Linked DNA regions of Oryzias latipes. The protein of the gene in region 1 binds, or shares a complex with, the protein of each later gene. Links are inferred from orthologs where the notes say so. Each region holds a gene or a part of one and is shown in the gene's direction. Other genes may lie near its edges.

What was found.
Region 2: cnot10 (region 1) and cnot9 share a complex: the UniProt entries of both Homo sapiens proteins name them as parts of the CCR4-NOT complex. The link is inferred for Oryzias latipes from reciprocal best matches to the Homo sapiens genes CNOT10 and CNOT9.
Region 3: cnot10 (region 1) and CCR4-NOT transcription complex subunit 6 share a complex: the UniProt entries of both Homo sapiens proteins name them as parts of the CCR4-NOT complex. The link is inferred for Oryzias latipes from reciprocal best matches to the Homo sapiens genes CNOT10 and CNOT6.

The regions. Positions count from the first base shown.
Region 1 is NC_019874.2:7,750,032-7,753,681, forward strand, and holds part of cnot10 (CCR4-NOT transcription complex subunit 10), read left to right. Parts: intron 1-395; coding exon 396-479; intron 480-556; coding exon 557-640; intron 641-956; coding exon 957-1,074; intron 1,075-1,247; coding exon 1,248-1,397; intron 1,398-1,571; coding exon 1,572-1,774; intron 1,775-3,650. UniProt on the Homo sapiens protein: Component of the CCR4-NOT complex which is one of the major cellular mRNA deadenylases and is linked to various cellular processes including bulk mRNA degradation, miRNA-mediated repression, translational repression during translational initiation and general transcription regulation.
Region 2 is NC_019879.2:16,425,468-16,429,708, reverse strand, and holds the start of cnot9 (CCR4-NOT transcription complex subunit 9), read left to right. Parts: upstream 1-1,408; 5' UTR 1,409-1,768; coding exon 1,769-1,786; intron 1,787-2,258; coding exon 2,259-2,444; intron 2,445-2,588; coding exon 2,589-2,704; intron 2,705-3,131; coding exon 3,132-3,241; intron 3,242-3,368; coding exon 3,369-3,478; intron 3,479-3,670; coding exon 3,671-3,769; intron 3,770-4,241. Other genes in the region: usp37 (ubiquitin carboxyl-terminal hydrolase 37), read right to left, coding at 117-290. UniProt on the Homo sapiens protein: Component of the CCR4-NOT complex which is one of the major cellular mRNA deadenylases and is linked to various cellular processes including bulk mRNA degradation, miRNA-mediated repression, translational repression during translational initiation and general transcription regulation.
Region 3 is NC_019868.2:16,555,792-16,559,441, forward strand, and holds part of CCR4-NOT transcription complex subunit 6, read left to right. Parts: intron 1-93; coding exon 94-296; intron 297-389; coding exon 390-605; 3' UTR 606-3,650. UniProt on the Homo sapiens protein: Poly(A) nuclease with 3'-5' RNase activity.

The DNA.
Region 1 (3,650 bases):
CGATGTCATGGAGCGGCTGTGACTACAGAGCTCTTCAAAAGTCTACCAAAAGTTAGACTTGCAGTCCAGAGCCACTTGTAGTCTGTGAAGTACTGGAGTTAGTTTCTCTGCAGTTTTCTTTTCCTCACTCCAGCCGGTTTCAGGCTGCAGTGACGGCTCGTGCGGCTGCTCTCTGGGCCTCTTCATGACAGGCTGCAGTTTTTTTACTCTTTTAAAGCTGCCTCTCTTGCTGCTCGCTGTTTTAGGAAATGCATGGCAGCAGCTGACGCGTCACTGTCGACCTGCCTCCTTCCTGTGGGTTAGAAACGGAATGAAGGGACCGACCACGAGAGTCCTGTTCCTCTGTCCACTGTGTATATGATGGAAGCATTACTGTTATGTGTGTGTGCTTGTAGAGCGCCACTTCACATAAGGACGCTGGCAGCCAGAGGGCGGAGTTTGCAGCCATGATTGAAGCAGCAAAATACAAACTCCACCAGGTCAGAGCTCTCTGGGTCCTCTCCCTTCACTCTGCTGCCTTGCTCCAGAACCCTCACTCTCTGTCTCCTCCCTCTAGTACAAGGTCAGAGCCTACATCCAGATGAAGTCTTCCAAGGCCTGTAAGAGAGAAATCAAATCGGTGATGAACACAGCCGGAAATGTGAGTTTCCAGTGGGCTCCATGCACACAGCCTTCCTCTGTCCAGAGAACCCTGAGTCTCCTGTTTAGCTCCATTCTGTACAGTCAAAATCATGAGATTCCAGGTCTTTGTATTCAGTTTAGCTTTGTTTATATCTGCCTCCCATCTTTTTCATGACTGGATTTCTACTTAGAAACCTTTTTTTTGATAGAAATCGTGCTGCTGGATGCTTCACCAGTGACCCTGGAGAGGACATGTCCTTGCTTATTTCAGTTTTGGTGCTCACAGGCTGAACTGTGGTCATGTCGTTACTGTGGTGCTTTTTTTCCTCCTGCAGTCTGCACCCTCCCTTTTCCTGAAGAGCAACTTTGAGTACCTGAGAGGAAACTACCGCAAAGCTGTGAAGCTGCTGAACAGCTGCAACATCGCCGAGCATCCAGGACCCATGAAGACAGGTCAGGTCCTCTGCTGGAACATCTGAATAAGTATCACCTGCATGTTTGTGAAGGATTTACGACTCAAGCTTTGTAAACGGATCAATAAAGTTAGTGGTCATTCAATCAGAAAGCATCTGTCATGAATGACTTTGCTTCTGCTGCCTCCTCTGACCGTGTTCCCCGTCGTCCAGGTGAATGTGTTCGCTGTATGTTCTGGAATAACCTGGGCTGCATTCACTTTGCCATGGGGAAGCACAACCTGGGCATTTTTTACTTCAAGAAGGCTCTGCAGGAGAACGATCACACGTGCGCTCAGCTGGGAGACGGCAGCAGCAGCCAGGGTAAGCACAGCGTCCCGGCCCTCGTCTGACTCTAGAGGGCGGGTCCTCGTGTGCAGAGCAGACCATCCAGGTCCAAGTGTTGGTCTTTTTCACTTGCTCACGTTCTCCCCAGCATCTTTCAGAGTCATCGTGAAGTGCCACATCAATAACCACCGTTTTCTTTCTGGCTTTAAGCAAAGAGCTTCACAGGAATGCCCATGTGCGCCCTGCTGGCCAACAAGCGCTACGAGCTGCTGTACAACTGTGGCATCCAGCTGCTGCACATCGGCCGGCCGCTGGCAGCCTTCGAGTGTCTGATGGAGGCCGTGCAGGTGTACCACTCCAACCCCCGGCTGTGGCTGCGCCTCGCTGAGTGCTGCATCTCTGCCAACAAAGGGGTATGTCCGTCTCAGCTTTCCTCTGTCATGTTGTATAAACAAACGCATGGAGATCTGGGGCCTCATTTAAAAACGTTGCGTACGCACAAAAGAAAGCGTACGCCACTCTCTACGCAATAATTGATATTTATAAAAAGCAAACTTGACGGGAAAATGTGCGGTCCTTCACGCAAGCTCTGACCCAGGCGTACGCACAAATACGGGTGAAAGGAGAAACGGCGACGCCGTCGGCAGATGGAAGAAACACGTGAAAGTGAAAATGACAATACTGCCTCTCAGAAATAACATGAAGACTTCACAAAGCAAGTCTTACAATTAACAGCTACACGAACACCCGTTGGACCGATCAGCAGTGAAACAAATAAAAAAAATCAAACGAAAATTACAACAGAAATTCAAATGAACACTTATTTGCAAAAAGAAAAGTGAAATATGTTCTACAATATTGGCATGTTGTGCAATTCATCCTCATAAATAATATAGTTAACAGAACGAAATAATGTACAAAACTGATATTCCCGTCAATGTGTCCGTCTGGCGGAGCAGATATAGGTGCAATTAGACAGACAGACGTATTAATTGTCCACTGGGGAAAGTTGTTTTCATATTAAAACATTTCTTCATAAGCTACAGAATTATGGTATTCATGCATATGCCTTTAGTTTGTTTTATTTTTGATAAAACCATGTATGGCGTATGTCTCAACCATTCAGAAAGCAACAATAAATTACATTTGCGCTGAACAATTTCCCATTTCCACGTCGATTATTACCGACATCTGTAGCTTGTCAGATGTAATTAAATGGATGGAAATAAAATGCCCCATCAAGAAGATACAGATGTGGCAAATGGAAGAATTCGGAGTGAACGCATCTTTAGACAGCAAGAAGACTTGCTGGCAAACGAGGACGAGTGGCTTATGAGCCGGTTCCGACTTCCTCGAGCCGTCCTGTTGGACCTCTGCGGGCTTTTGGGGGTGTGTCACCCGGTGCATCTGGTGCGTCGGTGTGTCACCCGGTGCATCTGGCGCGTCGTGTCCCCCTCCGCCTCAGTCACCACTCCACTTAAAAGGGATTCCCCAATAATAGCCGCCAGTCTCTCATCAAGAGGGGTCAGCTACGGTGTCCCCCACCCGTGGCAGACACACGTTTTTTTGCCTCGTTTGATGTCCGACCATTTCTTTCATTTCTTTTTTATTTCGGCCACGGTCCGAGGTTGTGAGGCTACAGCATTTTCGGCGTCTGCCGCCGTCTGCCACTCACGTGCCTTTTTGGCATTAGTAATGCCCACACTGTGCCCTCCAAACAACATTTTCCTCCTCTTTTCCACCTCGCCAACGATAACTTCTACTTCACATTGAGTGAAGTTGCGTTTTTTTGATTTCTCGGTGTGTGCCATGGTTTTGCAATCAATGAATATTCATTTGTGGGCGTTTCACGGACTATTTATGGGCAACTATGGGCGTGTCATGAAGCCGCAAAAGCTGCGCTGCATTTAGAATTGGTTGTGATTTATAAAGGGAAAGATGCGTAGGATGTGCGTGCGCACGGCTTTATAAATCCGAATATTTCTGTGCGTACGCACGTCCTATGTTTCATCCGTACGCCACTTCTGACGCAAATCCTACGCAAAGTTTTATAAATGAGGCCCCTTGCCCACTGAACCAAGACTCTTCAAGCTTAAAGTCCCACTCCAATCCTCTTCCGATCTGTCTTCAAAGTGTTCCCAGTGGACTTTTATTTATGATAATGTCGTTTTTGCCAAAAATTAAGAAAGCTGTTTCGTTTCCTAGAGCATCGTTTCTGCAGAGCAGCAGGAGTTCACTAGAAATTCACCGCTGAGTTGTGGGCGGGACTGTTGGTGCAGAGTAAGCCTG
Region 2 (4,241 bases), on another chromosome or scaffold:
ATTACACTAATTTAAAAAAATGTCTAAGTAGGGATGACAGAAACATCATGCCTAATGCTAAATATCTGTCACAACACCAACAAGCATACAGATAAAATACATTAAAGAGAAATTACCTGGAAAGTTTTGGCAGCGCCACCACAGCTGAACCTTAAACAGAGATTAACTCTGTTATCCTTTTCCAAAATTTCAAAGGTTCCCTCTTTCCACTTGGTGCCGCCCAGCTCAATGGTGTTAAAGCGAATCTTGACAGTGCTACCACTGGAGAGTTTGGGCACAAAAGTTGACATGGCTTGCTATCCTGATGGTCCACTTGTTAGGTCTGAATTTAAGATGTACAAAAGAAATAAACATGTCAAGAAATAGTCACACGGGTAGCCTATAATGGCAAAAACAACCTCACTTTTATGACTGCTATTGCTATTTAACCAAATAAACAGTTTAAATGAATATTTTTACCATTGCTAAATGCCACATAACAAGAAGTTAGTATTTTTGTAACTAGTTTGCTATATTGTTTTTTTTACAGAACATGCAGCACCGACGTGCCATTCTGAAGATTATAAGTGATTTAATTTGTAGCCAACAATAACATTTGCTAAAAACTTGAAATGTGTTATTCAAAATTATAATAATAAATAAATAAAAGATACAGAAACAAAACTAATATGAGATATGTAGATACGTAGCCAACATGGCAAATGCGGTTTGAAGTAAAGGAAAAAGGTAGGACTTCATAATCCAAAGTGACAAGTTAGCATAACAGTACAATATGAATTACTGCACCACAAAAATCACAAAATATAACAAACTGCATATCCTGAACGGTCATTGAATTTTAGTTTTAAACATGTTTGTGTAGAGCCTGCATTTAAACAACAAACACTGACAACTCCAATGTTGCAGAGGAGAAGCAACACATTTTGAGCTGCGTTGTGATGCTCGTGGCGCGGCCAGAACCATAGATTCAAACGATATAAACAAAAATATCAGTCTATCAACGAACTAGTCGAATAACATGAATCTAATATTAAATGTGAAGCATGCAGTGGCGTTTTTGTTTCTTTAACAGACGCTTAATATGATGGAAGAGGCCCACATTAGCAACACTGGTTCCTAAGCTAGCGGGAGCTAGCTAACACAGTAATTTGGTGATGAAAACAACCACATTCAGTGCCATCGTCATTTCATTACCTGTCTAGGATCACGGTGGTGGTTCCAAACCTATAGAATGTGGACTTGACTTCGCAGATCCTTCGAGAGCATAAAAAAGGTTTTGCCGGCATTCACCTGCTGTTCTGTATGTTTGCTGCAAGTAGAGCAGCACACTACGCCTCACAGCAACGGGCGATGATGGCGGGAATGGGAACATTTACAACGGAAATGATGAACGAGATTGCGCTCCGTTCTCCTCTCGCGATATCTGAGACGTTGTTTGTAGCGAAGTTGTCCCTGCCGAGGAAAAAAAATCAAACGCGAGATTGAAAAAAATGCCAGTGTAAACTTGGTTTATTGATACTATAACGACAATAATTTCTTTTTGTGCTTCTGTAGTTCTCAGTGTTGGGATTTCGATTGAAGTTATGTGAAGTTACGCATGTTGTGGATCCCATTTGTTAGAGCACCTAGCAACTAGCTAAGCTAGCAGTTCGTAAGCATATGTCCATGGTTCTTACGGTGAGATTTCAGGGTCGAGTATTGCGAAGAGGTGCAAACTGACGAACTTTCTATTAAAAGAGTATTTTGAGATCCCGAAAAGCTTTCCAAAATGTTGGCAACGGGAGCGGTGAGTATCAAACTATTGCATCGCTCTCACGGTGACGTTCCCTCCAATTTCGCCTAAGTACATCGAAAATCTTTTTTTTCCTCCCAAATTTCAGCTTTCTTTATTGAATTAATTTTAAAGCAGAACTTCTCTTTGCAGTTTTCAAAGAAAGACTGCATAATATTAATGAAAGCCTCGTACAAATGTAGTACAGTATGGTTTTGGTATACATGTATTGCAGTTGGCAAATCATGAGACGTTTTTGTAGTTAAATTGACAAATAATTTGATTTTGCCCCAATTTGTCATAGCAGACATTTAACAAATTTACACGCTGTCATTTCCTCTTCATGATTTGGGTTTGCAGAAGGGGGAAATTAAACGTAGGTTACATATATCTTAATTAGCGTAATGTTTTTGTTCTTGAGTGTTTCGTTTGTTTGCTTGTTTAAAGAATTGATTGCGAATGGATTGATATTTTCTTCCTATCAAAGGCTGTAACCAACGTCACAGCCCTGGCCCAAGTAGACCGTGAGAAGATTTACCAGTGGATCAATGAGTTGTCCAGTCCAGAGACTAGAGAGAATGCTTTGCTGGAGCTCAGCAAGAAGCGAGAATCCGTGCCAGACTTGGCCCCAATGCTCTGGCATTCATGTGGCACCATTGCTGCCCTGTTGCAGGTATTGGTCCACCTGTTCATTTGACACAGGTCATCCCATTGGGACTGTTTGTGCATCTGTGCCTCTTGTATGGTCTTTATTTTTGTAGTGGTGTTAAACAACTCCTTTTGTTAATTAAATTGTCCTCCTTTTTTTTTTTTTCAGGAAATAGTAAACATCTATCCGTCTATTAACCCACCAACCCTTACAGCCCACCAGTCAAATAGAGTGTGTAATGCCCTGGCACTTTTGCAGTGTGTTGCCTCACATCCAGAGACACGGTAACAAGATAGTTATTGTTACTGAAAAATCAGATTTTTATTTTTTATTTTTAGTAATTCTAATAATTAACTGCTCTTATAATGTTTTAAAGGGGTAACAGACCACAATCTGTTTTATTTATTTGTTTATTATTTGTTTAAAAAGTAACAGTCATCAGTCACTTTTAATACATACATCATACAGAATAGTGGATTTTTCCAGCATTTAGCCTTTGCAGATCTTCAGTTTAAAGCGGTTAAAAGATAATAAATATAGTATTTTCATTTTTATTAAGGCCATGGTCTAAATAAATTGTTTAATATTAAGGTTTTGTTATGTAATTCCTCAATTCACTATAATTTAAAAAAAAAAACGAACTTATTTCCATTTGCAAGGTTTAATGTGTTACATTGATTAATATGATTTTATTTGTTTTGTCCACACCAGGTCAGCATTTCTAGCTGCCCATATTCCTCTTTTCCTTTACCCTTTTCTGCACACTGTGAGTAAAACGCGTCCATTTGAGTACCTGCGACTTACCAGTCTAGGAGTCATAGGTAATTTCTCCTGCTGAGATCATGTTTTTGTTGATTTTACTTTTAATTTAAAAAGTCTTCTCTTTTAGGTATTGCTCTGATAATTCTGTTTATGTCAGATCTTGATTTGTTTGTGTGTTCTTGACAGGTGCATTGGTGAAAACCGATGAACAAGAAGTGATAAACTTCCTTCTTACTACGGAAATCATCCCACTCTGTCTTCGCATCATGGAATCTGGAAGTGAACTCTCCAAGACGGTAATTACCAATGAAATCAAAAGCAGTTTTTATCAAGCAGGAAGAAAAAAATGGATTTTGGAGTCAAACATTCAAAATATGTGTTAACAGATTTGGGTTTTGGTTTTCTAAAACCTACTCTCATGCATTTATCTATGGTATGAATTTAACTCATGTTTCTACCATTGACTATAATTCTTTTTTTTTTATCAGGTTGCTACTTTCATACTGCAAAAGATCCTGCTGGATGACACTGGGTTGGCTTACATATGTCAGACTTATGAACGTTTTTCCCATGTCGCCATGATTCTTGTAAGTATTTTAGGATTTTTGTGTTGTGCACCTATAGCATTGTTGTGATAAAGATGTACAGTCAAGACCATAAATATTTGGACAGAGACACGTTTTTTCTAACGTGTCTCTCAGATCAACTCAGATGCCATTGAAGTGCAGACTTTCAGCCTTGGTTGAACAAAAAGATTGTATAAAAATGTGAAAAACTAAAGCATTTTTTAAACACAATCCCTTCATTTCTTGGGCTCCTAAGTAATTGGACAAATTAAATAACTGAAAACAAAATGGTCATTACTAATATTTGGTGGAAAACCCTTTGTTGGCAATGACAGCCTGAGCTGACCTCTCTTGATGAGAGACTGGCGGTAATAATTGGGGAATCCCTTTTAAGTGGTGTGGTGACTGAGGCGCAGGGGGAACACCGACGCGCCAGATGCACCGGGTGACATACCCCCAAAAGCCCGCAGAGGTCCAACAGGACAGCTCGAGG
Region 3 (3,650 bases), on another chromosome or scaffold:
AGATCCAGTTGCATGAGTGAGGGACTCTGTGTGGTACTGGAAACGGAGAAGCCCAGGCTTTGACTGAATCTATTTTTTTTACCCCTACTCTAGGTGTAGTGGAATACCTGAGTACTGGTGGAGTGGACTGCACCCATAAGGACTTCAAAGAGCTCCGTTATAGTGACTGCCTGACCAAATTTAACTGCAACGGCAAGAACAGCACGTCGAATGGCAGGATCACCCACGGCTTCAAGCTGAAGAGCGCCTATGAGAATGGCCTGATGCCTTATACCAACTACACCTTTGACTTTAAGGTAACACCTGAAGCTGCAGGGGGAAAAAAAGCTTTAAACGCCTTTCAAAAATGGTGCAAATGTATATACTAATTTAATGTACCTCCCCCTTAGGGTGTCATCGACTACATTTTCTACTCCAAGCCTCACCTGAACGTGCTGGGAATCCTGGGACCGCTGGATCCCCACTGGCTTGTAGAAAACAATGTCACCGGCTGCCCCCACCCCCACATCCCCTCCGACCACTTCTCCCTCTTTGCTCAACTGGAGTTGCTCCTGCCCAACATACCCTCCCAGGTCAATGGGCTTCACCTGCCTGCGCGCAGGTAGTTAGACCCTGCCATACCACTAGGGGGAGCTGCAACCACACCTCCCTCTCAGTTCTGCTCCCTCCCTGTACCAGCTCTTCCCTCCAGCACGCTGGAGGAGAAAGACACCTACACAAATCCACACACACACACACACATACAAAAAACCTGTAAAATATTCGTACAGTGAGGTCTGGCTGACAGGGATTTCGTATAGATACTCTATATTTTTCTTTGTTTTTCTTTTTATGTTCTTTTTTAACTGCTTGATTCAGCCCTGTTTGTGTATCATATTTTGTGTATTGGACTCCCCCTCCTTGTCAAATCCACCCCCGCCCCTCCCACCTGCTTTGCTTCTGTCTCAGACTGCAGAGGATGGTGGCTCTTTCGGCTTCCTCTCATATGTTGTGCTGTGATGTTTTGGAGTTAGAGGAAAGGTTAATGTTGCTGAAAAAAAAAGGACATTTTAAGTGAAAAGCTTGAGAGCTGAAGGTCTGCCGGTCTGTCTGTTCTGTATAAACCTAAAACCAGCAAAGACAGCAGACCCATCCCTTTCAGACCTGCACCGCTGGCTTCTTCTTGTCCTTCGGGTCCATGGTGCACCCCTCTCGGGGGGGGGACACGGAAACAACGTTCTTGTGTTTGGGGTTTTAGAGCAGCTTTTCGAGGGGTTTCTCTGGAGTGATGCAGCTCGCTTTTGTGTGTGTGTGCGTGTGTTGGGGTTTTTTTTTTCCTGCTGTCGTGCTGTGGTGCTGAGGCCTTTTATGAGGTCATGGCCTCTTGTGGTGCTACAAGACAGTCTATGCCTCCCAGCCCCGGCACATTAACCCCACAAGAAGCCCGGAGAACCAGAACCCTTAGCTTACATTTGTCCGATTTCACCGACGCCATGTAGCTTTAAAGAAAGATGGGAGAAACTGAGCGCAGCTGCTATCTGTTCTGCAGACTATTTCACCCCCTGCTTGTGTAGTTGTTAGGTTATTCTTGTGCTAGGAGCTTATGTGGCCTGTGTATCGCCTTTTTTTTTTTTTTTTTATTTCCTGGAAGGAGCAAGGGATTCGGCTGATTGGCTGGTCCATCGGGGAGCCATCACGCCCTTTATGGGTTGTGATTGCTTTTTAGGCAGAGATGGACACACCGGAGTAAAACCAGCATCCTTCTCACTGTCGGGAGTTGCCGTCCTACTCCAAACATGCAAGCGTACATGCACTCGCATACACCAAGATCTCTCACGGGCAGATTCTGTAGCACTGTCTCCAAGGCCTGTAGTGACTTTTCTCCCCCCCCCAGCCATGCGTTCCGTTCACAGAAGCAGTGGGTTCTTGGTTTCCTTTTTTTTTTTCCACAAGTCTTTGTACAGAATAGAAACCTAGACTCAGTCTTTACATGATTGTATATGAACCACAAAAGACCTGTTTTCTGGCGTTTTTTGTACAAAGAGTAAATTATGGTCAAATTTGAAAAAGAAAAAAAAGATTGTATTGTAAACTAAGGCTAAATTTTTATCCAGTTGATGTTGAGATGAATTGATATTACCAGCTTGTACAAAAGACGTAAGAAGAGGTTGTTGCAGGCATTCGCTGCCACTACTTTGCACTCCCTAAACATTGACTGTAACTTCAGTCCCCCCCCCATCCCCCACCCCTCTCTTTTGACCCTTGTTTGATTCGCCGACTCTTTGCTATGATGTAAAATGGGCAGCAAGGAAATTCTGCCTGTTGCTTCTTATCCATTAACGACGCCATTTCTTTGTCTTTTCGCCTCGTCGCCAGTAGTTTGGTCAAAGTGACATCCGAGGACGAGTACCATCTCTTCATCATTTAAGTGGTCGATATACACCCAGCCCCCCCCCCCCCCCCCCCCCCCTCCACCAATGTACATCGTGCCTCGCTGTAGCAGTTGACTTTGTCTTGCACTATTTATAAGCGGCGAACGCCTCAACAACCTTTTCTCTTATTTTTAAATACTGTTGAGACATTTGTGAAGATTTTGTCCTTTCTTTTTTTTTTGTTAATGTTTCCTTTTTTATGAGACGTGACAATGTTATATATACATATATGAATATATATATATATATATATATATATATATACACACATAAACTCTGTCCATTGACCTCTCTAATAATCAGGTATGCTTTGTCCACTGACCCTCTCTGTAAGGAACATGAGTCGTGGGGGCGTCTTCTAAACTCCCCCTTTGATTGCTGTGCTCCCTCTTTGTACCTAAAGCACTGCTCCCACCCCCCACCCCCATCCCAGCCCCCGGCTTCCTTCCTGGCCACGCGTCCCACCCACCAAACCACCCATCGTCTTTGTAACGCCCCCCACCCAACCACTTTGTATAGGTTTTCTACTCTTGTCACTGCAGCTATAGTGCCATTTGTGGAGCCCCCTACCTCTGTGTTGGTAAAAGGTGGAAAGGCCCACTTTTCCTTTACTCTTTGTGGGGGGAAAACTTTAAAAAGAAAAAAGGGTGAGGGTCAGTGAGCTTTCCTGTCAACACGTCGCTGCAAATCCAGTTTGTCTTATTCTGAAAATCCAAGTGAAGTCTGTGAGCAGCAGCGTAATCGTTTGAACGCTCATGTGGATGATGAGCACTTATCAAATTCAGAAACGGCTTTCCTCATTCCTCCCATATTAACCACTAAAAATGAATTCTGTTGCATTTTTAATGCAGGAAAGAAGCAAATCTACAGGAAAAATAATCAATTGGCCCCTCTCTAACTTCCTTTATTATGTTGTTTTAATTGCCCCCCCCCCCCCCCCCCCCCCCCCCCCCGGCGCACCCCAGCGGTAACCAATGTGTTCAATTTTGACATTTTGTTTCTTGAATGGCATTAGTATTGTAGTAGATTTAAAGGGGTAGCTTTTTTTGTAAAGTGTGAATAAAAGATGTATCTCATGTTTCCTTTCTAAAAGATGTTGGATTGTGTTGTTGATGTGCAAATCATGAATTCTTTGACGCATCGTTTTTAACACACCCCTACCCCACACACAAACACACACTTGGCGCCGAATCTACATCTCTGGAGATCATGTAGTCTTGATGGGTTGGTCCTCCTGAA